2 linked regions of the Oryzias latipes genome follow. Each later gene encodes a partner of the first gene's protein in a complex. Links are inferred from orthologs where the notes say so. Each region holds a gene or a part of one and is shown in the gene's direction. Other genes may lie near its edges.

Evidence for each region. The genes of interacting proteins can lie anywhere in the genome.
Region 2: gins1 (region 1) and mcm4 share a complex: the UniProt entries of both Homo sapiens proteins name them as parts of the CMG helicase complex. The link is inferred for Oryzias latipes from reciprocal best matches to the Homo sapiens genes GINS1 and MCM4.

What each region holds. Positions count from the first base shown.
Region 1 is NC_019873.2:12,527,796-12,532,015, reverse strand, and holds gins1 (DNA replication complex GINS protein PSF1), read left to right. Parts: upstream 1-1,420; 5' UTR 1,421-1,622; coding exon 1,623-1,700; intron 1,701-2,866; coding exon 2,867-2,931; intron 2,932-3,396; coding exon 3,397-3,492; intron 3,493-3,562; coding exon 3,563-3,653; intron 3,654-3,723; coding exon 3,724-3,840; intron 3,841-3,905; coding exon 3,906-3,980; intron 3,981-4,058; coding exon 4,059-4,127; 3' UTR 4,128-4,203; downstream 4,204-4,220. UniProt on the Homo sapiens protein: Required for correct functioning of the GINS complex, a complex that plays an essential role in the initiation of DNA replication, and progression of DNA replication forks.
Region 2 is NC_019875.2:27,222,251-27,226,250, forward strand, and holds the start of mcm4 (DNA replication licensing factor MCM4), read left to right. Parts: upstream 1-1,200; 5' UTR 1,201-1,305; intron 1,306-1,361; exon of another isoform or gene 1,362-1,650; intron 1,651-1,970; 5' UTR 1,971-1,984; coding exon 1,985-2,048; intron 2,049-2,128; coding exon 2,129-2,287; intron 2,288-2,357; coding exon 2,358-2,518; intron 2,519-2,597; coding exon 2,598-2,699; intron 2,700-2,780; coding exon 2,781-2,876; intron 2,877-2,992; coding exon 2,993-3,088; intron 3,089-4,000. UniProt on the Homo sapiens protein: Acts as a component of the MCM2-7 complex (MCM complex) which is the replicative helicase essential for 'once per cell cycle' DNA replication initiation and elongation in eukaryotic cells.

The sequences.
Region 1 (4,220 bases):
CTGCAGGTTTAAACTTAGACATGAGAGTTCAAGAAAGACAATAAAGATGGAAAAACATTTAATTGAATTGGAGTAAAATGACTTAGTTATATAAATATGATTTGTAAAAAAATATTTTGAGTTGGGTAGACGTAAGAAATTAGGTTGAATAAATTTAACTCAATTACTTGTTACCAATTGAAAGAATTAATTTAAGTTGGATAAGTTATATAAATGTTGCACCGAGTAAAAACTGATAACCGCTGTGAAGCAAGTCAGAGTTTTATTAACACAGGATCATTCTTTGCAGTACGATACCATACCGATGACACCATAGCAAACGTGCATAAAAGAAAATCACAATCGATGTAAAAAAAAAAAAAAAAACAATAATAAAAAAATTCAAACATGCCAGAACACTCTGATGCACAGCCCACTCGGTCAGATACGGCACTTATAAAACAATGTCCAGTATAAATGAGAGGAAGTGACTTTAACAAAGATATGACAACAAAATAAAAGAAGTAGTCCTCTCCTGCACTTCACTTGATTAGTCAATCATGCCGGGTGAGCTCCGTGAGGAGCGGATAAACAAAACACAAAACCAAAAAAAAAAAAAACTAAAACGGGACAGCAGGGCACAGTATTCCAAAACCTCACGCCCAGTCTGTAAACCCCCGAAAAAACACGATCTACCTCTGCCGTGATCCACACTCTCGGCTCGAGCCAACTAACGCTGCTCTCTGAGCTAACCGGCTTTCTCACAGGAAGCTAGTACCATGGCAACCACACATCAACTTCCTTTTATACCCTCTGTACAATGGCTATAGCGACACCCTCAGATGTGCGGCATAATGACAATAGAAATGAGAAACTGATGCGTTTACCTTGTCCGTTATTTAGCAGAAACTCGTTCTTTTGCTGATGCAGCCGTATTGATATTTTTATGGGCGTATAATCTTCATATGCCGTCATTAAAATCTCAGACTCCCTTTCTCTTTTTTTCTCCACGCGTTTCCATGGTGACTCCTGAATTCGGCGATCCATTGAGAATGTCTTTATGTACTCGCCGTGCATGCGCATTAACCCAGGGTTACCAAGTCGAGCGTAATTACGCCAATTCATATCCGGTCTTTTGGAACCGACATACCCAGAGTAAGCAAGTTCAGGCGGATTTCAGCCAGAGTTCAGGGATACAGCCAGGGTAGTTTAAACATGTTTCCTGGAATACCCCCATGAACTGATGAAAGGCCGCACTTCTCTCTGGAAGTAATTGAACACAGCATTAGTTTGAATCGGCAAGAGATCAGAGAAAACAACCCGCGAGGCGATGAGCTCGATGGGTTTGGTCTATCGCCTGTCAGTCAGCAGACCGGAAGTCCAACTGGAAACGATTTAACATTCATTTACACAAAAATAATAATAATAAAAAAAACTCACGTTGTTACGTCGGAGGAAAGCGTGGAGGTCGCCGGACCGTCTCGCAAACAGCGCCTTCCCAATTCTACCACTTTGGATTTTGTCCCAAGCCGGCCTCCATCATTTCATGTCACGTAGCCACGTGACCAAAACATAACTTTTCCCGCGAAAGCCACTGTTCAGCGCCGGTAAGGGCTCGGGTTCGTGTGTGGCGATTCGGTTTGATGATGTTCTGTGAGAAAGCCGTCGAATTGGTCCGGGAGCTGCAGCGGCTGAGCGATGGACAGCTGCCCGCCTTTAACGTGAGTGAGGCGGCTCGAGCCGCGGCGGGACTCTGTTGAAAGCTGGGCTCGTATCAGATCTAAGCCCTTGATACACACAACACACTTCCTGTAAACTAAACAAGCAAGCTACATACAAATGGCGTATTTTTCTAAATAGCGATTTTTATACCAAAACGTTTTATATTCATTAGTCCCACTGGCAGAGTACATCAGGAGCAAAGTGGAGTTTAGTGTCTTGTCCAAGCTTCGGACACCTGGGCCGGCAAAGTGGGAACCGAACCTGAGACTTTGCGGTCAGAGGACGCTCTGCCTCAGCACCACAACCACCCCATGAGGCTTTTTGCTCGAGTTTACTCTGAGGCTGTTTCTTCCAGTCAGACAGCTGCTTTACATTTCTGATTTGACTCTATTGATCACAAACTTCTTCACTTAATTTTTTTTTTCAAAAAAAGGAAAATGTATGTTTGGTAAATGATTTGTTTGTTTTATTAACTTGGAAATTCCCATTGAGATGAAAAACTCCTTATAAATGGAACTAGAGGCTGCATCAAATGCAAAATAATGTTTTTTATAAAGGTGTAAAAAATAAATATTTGGTCAAAACTATAATTGACGTCAAAACTTTGTAATGCAACCCGGTTGTCAATCACCGGCGTCAAAGGTTATCTGTAGATCTCTACCAGATTTGCACTGCGGCTGTTATTTGGGTCACTCCTCCATGTAGATCTTAGGATCTAGGATGAAGTCCCTCCACAGATTCTCTTTATTGAATTGAGGTCCAGAGACTGACTAAACCACTTCAGAACCTTGCTTTTTATGTAGCCACCCCTTCGTTGCCATGGGGATGTGTTTGGGATCAGTTTCCTGCTGGTAGATCCAGCCATCTTTCATCCCCAGTGCCCTCACTTTTGCCCCAAATCTTACCATTCAATGCCCCATTCATTCTTTCCTTGATACCTGTCAGTCATCCTGTCCTCTTTGCAGAAAAGCAGCCCTAAAGCATGATGCTTCCACCTCCATGCTTCACAGATATTTTTCGCAAGTGGCGTTTACACCAAAGAGTTTTAAAAACCTATATGCAGGAAGGGATGAAAAGTAGTGCAGCCTCATGTCATTGTTCTCAAAAACTGTCTTTAGGGTTCTATGTTGCAGAACTTTAAACTGTGGCTCCGTGTATTTTTTAGGAGGATGGACTCCGGCAGGTTCTACAGGAGATGGAGTCTCTGTATGACCAGAACCAGGCTGACGTGTGAGTCCCCACACACAAGGTTTTGATGGTTTTGTGTGCTTGTTCTCCGTTCTGATCCAGAAACAGAACAAACATTTTTTACTTACAAACTAAAGAAAAATCTAATTGCCTCAAATGTCAAAAGGAAGGCTTTAACATTGATGATCCAAATTCACTGACCTCTGATCTTTGGGTCTAAAACCAGTGGTAAGTGTGCAAACAGCAAAAACGTAATCTTAAGAAAGTAAAAATACCTTGTTTCATGAAAAAGCAAGACAAAAAAATTCTAATTTTAAGAATTTTTTACTTAGAGGGCTTGTTTTTGCAGTGTATGTCTGTGGAGGACAGAGCAAACAATATCCGTGTAATTATGTAATAATCAATGACACAATTATATTGGTCTGTGGATACATGAAAAATCAGACTAAAGCTGATCTGTCTAATCGGGTCAGAACCCAGAAACATCAATGGATTGTCTGTTTTCAGGAACGAGGCGAAGGCGGGGCGCTCCGATTTCATCCCCTCCATCAAGCTCCGACACAGCTGCCTGCTCCGAAACCAGCGCTGTGTCACCGCCTACCTGTAACCCCGCCCACAGTCAGAACAGGTTAGATCACATGACTGGTGTTGTTGATGTTTGTCTGTTGTCTAGTTATGACCGGCTGCTGAGGATCAGAGCACTCCGCTGGGAGTACGGCAGCGTGTTGCCGGCAAACGTCCGCTTTCACATGTGTGCAGAGGAGGTCAGTGTGACATCACTTCCTGCAGGTTTCACCTGTTGGCAGCTGTAACAGCTGTCTCCATGTGTGACAGGTGGAGTGGTTCAGTCAGTATAAGAAGTCTCTGGCCTCCTTCATGCGCTCCATCGGGGGAGGGGAGGGTCTCGACATAACACAGGACATGAAGCCCCCAAAGAGTCTGTATATTCAGGTGAGACCTCTAACCCAAAGCCCCGCCTCATAGTGTTGACATCATCCTGACACCTATACTTGCAGGTGAGGTGCATTAAGGACCATGGCGAGTTTGAAATTGATGACGGGACGATTATCCTGCTGAAGAAGAACAGCCAGGTGAGACAGGAAGAAGTCCCCCTGGATTTGAGTAAAATTAGAATCCCTTAAATGTTCTGACTTCGTGTTTCTCTACAGCACTTCCTGCCGCGCTGGAAATGTGAGCATCTGATTCGTCAGGGCGTCCTGGAGCATGTGCTGTCCTAAAGTGGGCGGGGCTTTGTAGACACCCCTTCAAAGAACCAACTGTCCTATGTTGTAATAAATCACTTTAATAAACCAATCTTGCGACTTATTTTT
Region 2 (4,000 bases), on another chromosome or scaffold:
ATCTACTACAACAATTGTTTTTACTTTAAAATGTAAATGTTTGCTATTTATATTATGTAAGCACGTCTATTTCCCATATAGCCCTAATTTAATTTTTTTTTTTTTTTTGTAAAAATAAATTGTTTACATGTTGTGATAAGATAAACTTTATTGGTCTAGACAGGAAAATGCACACAACTTCATGACATAATAAATAATGCAATTTCAATACTATGCAAGCTGTAAAACGGGCATTTTATAATCAGTCTACCATAGAGCATTTAATCCATTCAGACACATACCTTTACAATTAAAGCTACTTTATAGGAATGTTATTCTGATAATTTTAGAGTACAGAGTTTGTAAAAAAAAAACTAAAAAATAAAAAGAAATGAATATAAAATATAACAGCTCAAATATGTGTTTTCACACAGCAAAGCAACTACAAACAAACTCATTCTCTTTTATTTGCTTACTTACAGTCAATTTAAATGACAGAAGTTGGGCTTTAACATGATTTTGGTCTACCGATCTGCTGTCAACAATGCAGTCTGTTTGAGTGTCTTCCATCAGATACTTCTCGGAAATGTTTCCCATTTTTTCCTTTTAGGCAGTTTGCAGTACTTTTCCTCTGTGGAGGTCCACTTTCCTGTGAAAGACGCACCACCTAGTGGTTAGAATTAGCAACTGCAATAGATTTATGCAGTTTTACATAAAAAAATAAACATAGATTTTATCTTTTTTAGGGGGAAAATGTCTTAAATATGTAATTGTTATAATTACTAATTTTTGTGGGTATTCATTAACCGTTACTTTTTTTAAACAATAGTTTTCACTGCAACAATGGAAATATATAAAATAGAAACATCATATTTGAAACATTTTAATTCTTGTAAATCGATGTTTAATTATAAGGACTTTTTATTGATTTATTTTATTTATTTTTATTAAAAAATGTTTTTTTTTTTACTATTTTGTGGCTGAAACGGCAGCTTCCTGTGGGTTATAACCACATAAACGGAGGGAGAAAAGGCACAAAAAAGCTCAGTCGATTAGACAAAAATGTTTTTTACCTTTACAAATATTTAAAGAAAAAATGTTTTTAAATTATTATAGATGCCATTCTCCGTAATTTGAGGAACCTGTGTGCCTTTAAATAAATGAATGCGGATGAAGTTTTAACAAATCCCCCCCGTCAAAGTGGAGGGGCCTCCCGGAAGAAAGTTTGCGCTTCGTACTTTTCATTGGCCAAAAGTTACCCGCGAAATCGACGTCATCCGCAATTTCGCGCCAGATCTGCAGCTCTTGTCGTGCATTGAAGAAGAGGTAAGAAAGTCCTGCTTTTATCAACCCGGTTAATGTAAATCCTGCCGCTCTTTATGCATCTACGACAGAAGGAACTGATTGGGGTTTCCTTTAAACATCGATGACTGTTTTTATTGACATACTTTGGTGGTGAAGTTAGCAAAACACGATGTCGACTGAGCGCCGCCTTTGTTTGTCTGAATTATAGAGAGCCGCATGTCAAATGGTGGCTGAAATAATACTTCTCAAATCTGCGTGTTTGTACATTTAAAAAGACAGAAGATGCTCTAAACGTGACAAAATCCAACTGCTACGACGAGTGACGCTTAACCTGCATTTTCTGAATAAATACGTAAGAGTTTTGAGGTAAACGGGGCTGATGGACACTAAACGTTTTCAGAAACGAATTTTGCTCCTGAAAATCTACTGTACGTGTATGGAGAGGGATATAACCGCGAAAAAGACTAAAGTTGCTGCTTGCTTAATTTTTATTTGACCACCAAGAAAATGTTTTGCAGTAAACAGGATGCAAAAAAAATCACATACTCATTTTTTTTAAAGTGCACATACCTGTATATCTAAATATTTCCCGTGTTTTTACTCTCATATTTGTACAACTGAATCACCATTTATCACTTTCCTCTACAAACCATCTTAAGTCGGTTTTGACTTTTGTCAATCTGCAGATATTCCTGCAACGATGTCTTCGCCAGCATCAACCCCCGGAGGCCGTAAACGTGGAAGAAACGCCAACCCGCCCACACGTATGTCTGCTTCGCTCGGCTCTGATCGTCTCGGTCGCTCTGGTTCTTTTAAAAATACTTTTTTTTTTCCTCCACACCAGCGAATAGCGAGGATCCCACCTCTCCCCCCTCACAGAGGCGCCGGGGCCAGGACTCGTCTGCCGGGGATCTGATGCCGATGCCAACCTCCCCGGCGACAGACTTGCTCAGTCCGGCGGCACCTCAGGACACGTCTCTGTTCTCCAGCCCTCGACCTTCAGGTACTTGTTCTGGTTTTGTGTTACTTGATTTAAAAGAGGGCCTTGCCAGTCACAGTAGTGATGTTCATAGGGCCGAATGAAGTGGACATCAGCTCCCCTCTTGTGTACGGGACCCCCAGCTCCCGGGTGGAAGGCACTCCTCGCAGCGGAGTGCGTGGCACGCCAGCCAGGCAGCGCCCGGATCTGGGATCAGTCAGAAAGGCCCCCCAAGTGGATCTCCACTCTGACCAGGTCAGCGGACGAGCGCAGGCTCATCCAATGTCGGACTCAGTGGAAAAGAACAAAAGTTGACGTGGTTGTCGTCTTCTAGCCGAGCGCCGATAACGCAGTCGCCAGCGAGCCGAGTGCCGGGCAGAATCTGGTCATTTGGGGGACAGACGTCAATGTTGGGACGTGCAAAGAGAAGTTCCAGGTATGGACTGTGTCACCAGATGAGCTGTGTCCATCCTGCTTTCACTCCAGTCAAAGGTAACATTTCTGTGGTTTTTTTCAGAGGTTTCTGCAGAGGTTTATCGATCCGACTTCCACCGAGGACGAGAATGCCGGTCTGGACCTCAACGAGCCGCTGTACATGCAGAAGCTGGAAGAGGTGCAGCCGTCGCCGCCATTCGTTTCTGCTTTTAAGCCACAGTTTTTGCGACGCTTCACTCGTGTTTTATTCTTTTATTTGTGACCAGAGTTGTTGCCTTTTTCCCCCCCTCTCAGATCAGTGTGGTCGGGGATCCGGTCCTGAATGTGAACTGTCGCCACGTCCAGTCCTTCGATGCAGAACTGTACCGGCAGCTCATCTGTTACCCACAGGTAGAGTCTCAAACACAATTAAACACCATTTAAGCTTTGGCTGAATTCACTCATCACTGCGCATGGCAGGAATTTGCCCTTTTTCGGATGTCCACATCTACAGTTCCAATGTCCAGTGTCCTCAGAAGTCTCTGCAGAAAACTAGTACACATCGACGCTCACTAGATTAGTGACTAAATTTCACTCCTTCTCCTGTAGATCAGTGGTCTCCAACCTATTTCAGGCCACAGACCTCTTTAATGTCAGACAATTTTTTAACGGACTGGCCTGTACGAGGCCAAAGGGGCTTTTATTTTATTTATTTTTTTATAAATTACTTTAACTTTTGAGGGCAAAGTTTATCTTCACCCTCTGTAAAATAAGTGCAGCTGCTTTAGACTTTATTTAGATTTCAAGTAGGAAACATTAAAATGGGATCCAGATGATCCCATAACTGACAAAGTGGAAGCCAAAAAATCAGACGCCAACTTTAGCCTCATATTATTTAGGTGGAACTGATAAAACCAAATAAAAGGGTCACTAAAACTGATATTCTCTAAATATAATAATTCATGGGAATTTGTAGTTTAAACGACTTTATGAGCAGCTTCCTTGTAACATTAGAAAGCCAGTTGTTGAATATTCTGCATTATTAACTGTGGTCTGTGTGAACAACTGTCACAACAAATCCATATTTGGAGTAAAGACTCCTGGTAAATGAGACTTACTTTTATTTTGAAGGGGAAGGCTCTTTTCTGCCAAAACAAACTCTCCAAATATGTTTTGGCGGTCGGCGCAGCAGCTTTAAGAAAGTAGCGGATGGGTTTTCAACACGTGACCGAAAGGCTTGATACGTGTGTGACTAAAGAGTCGGATGCGGTGGAGAGAATCCCGCTGTTTTTCAAAATAAAACTTCCTTCAGAATCAGATTTG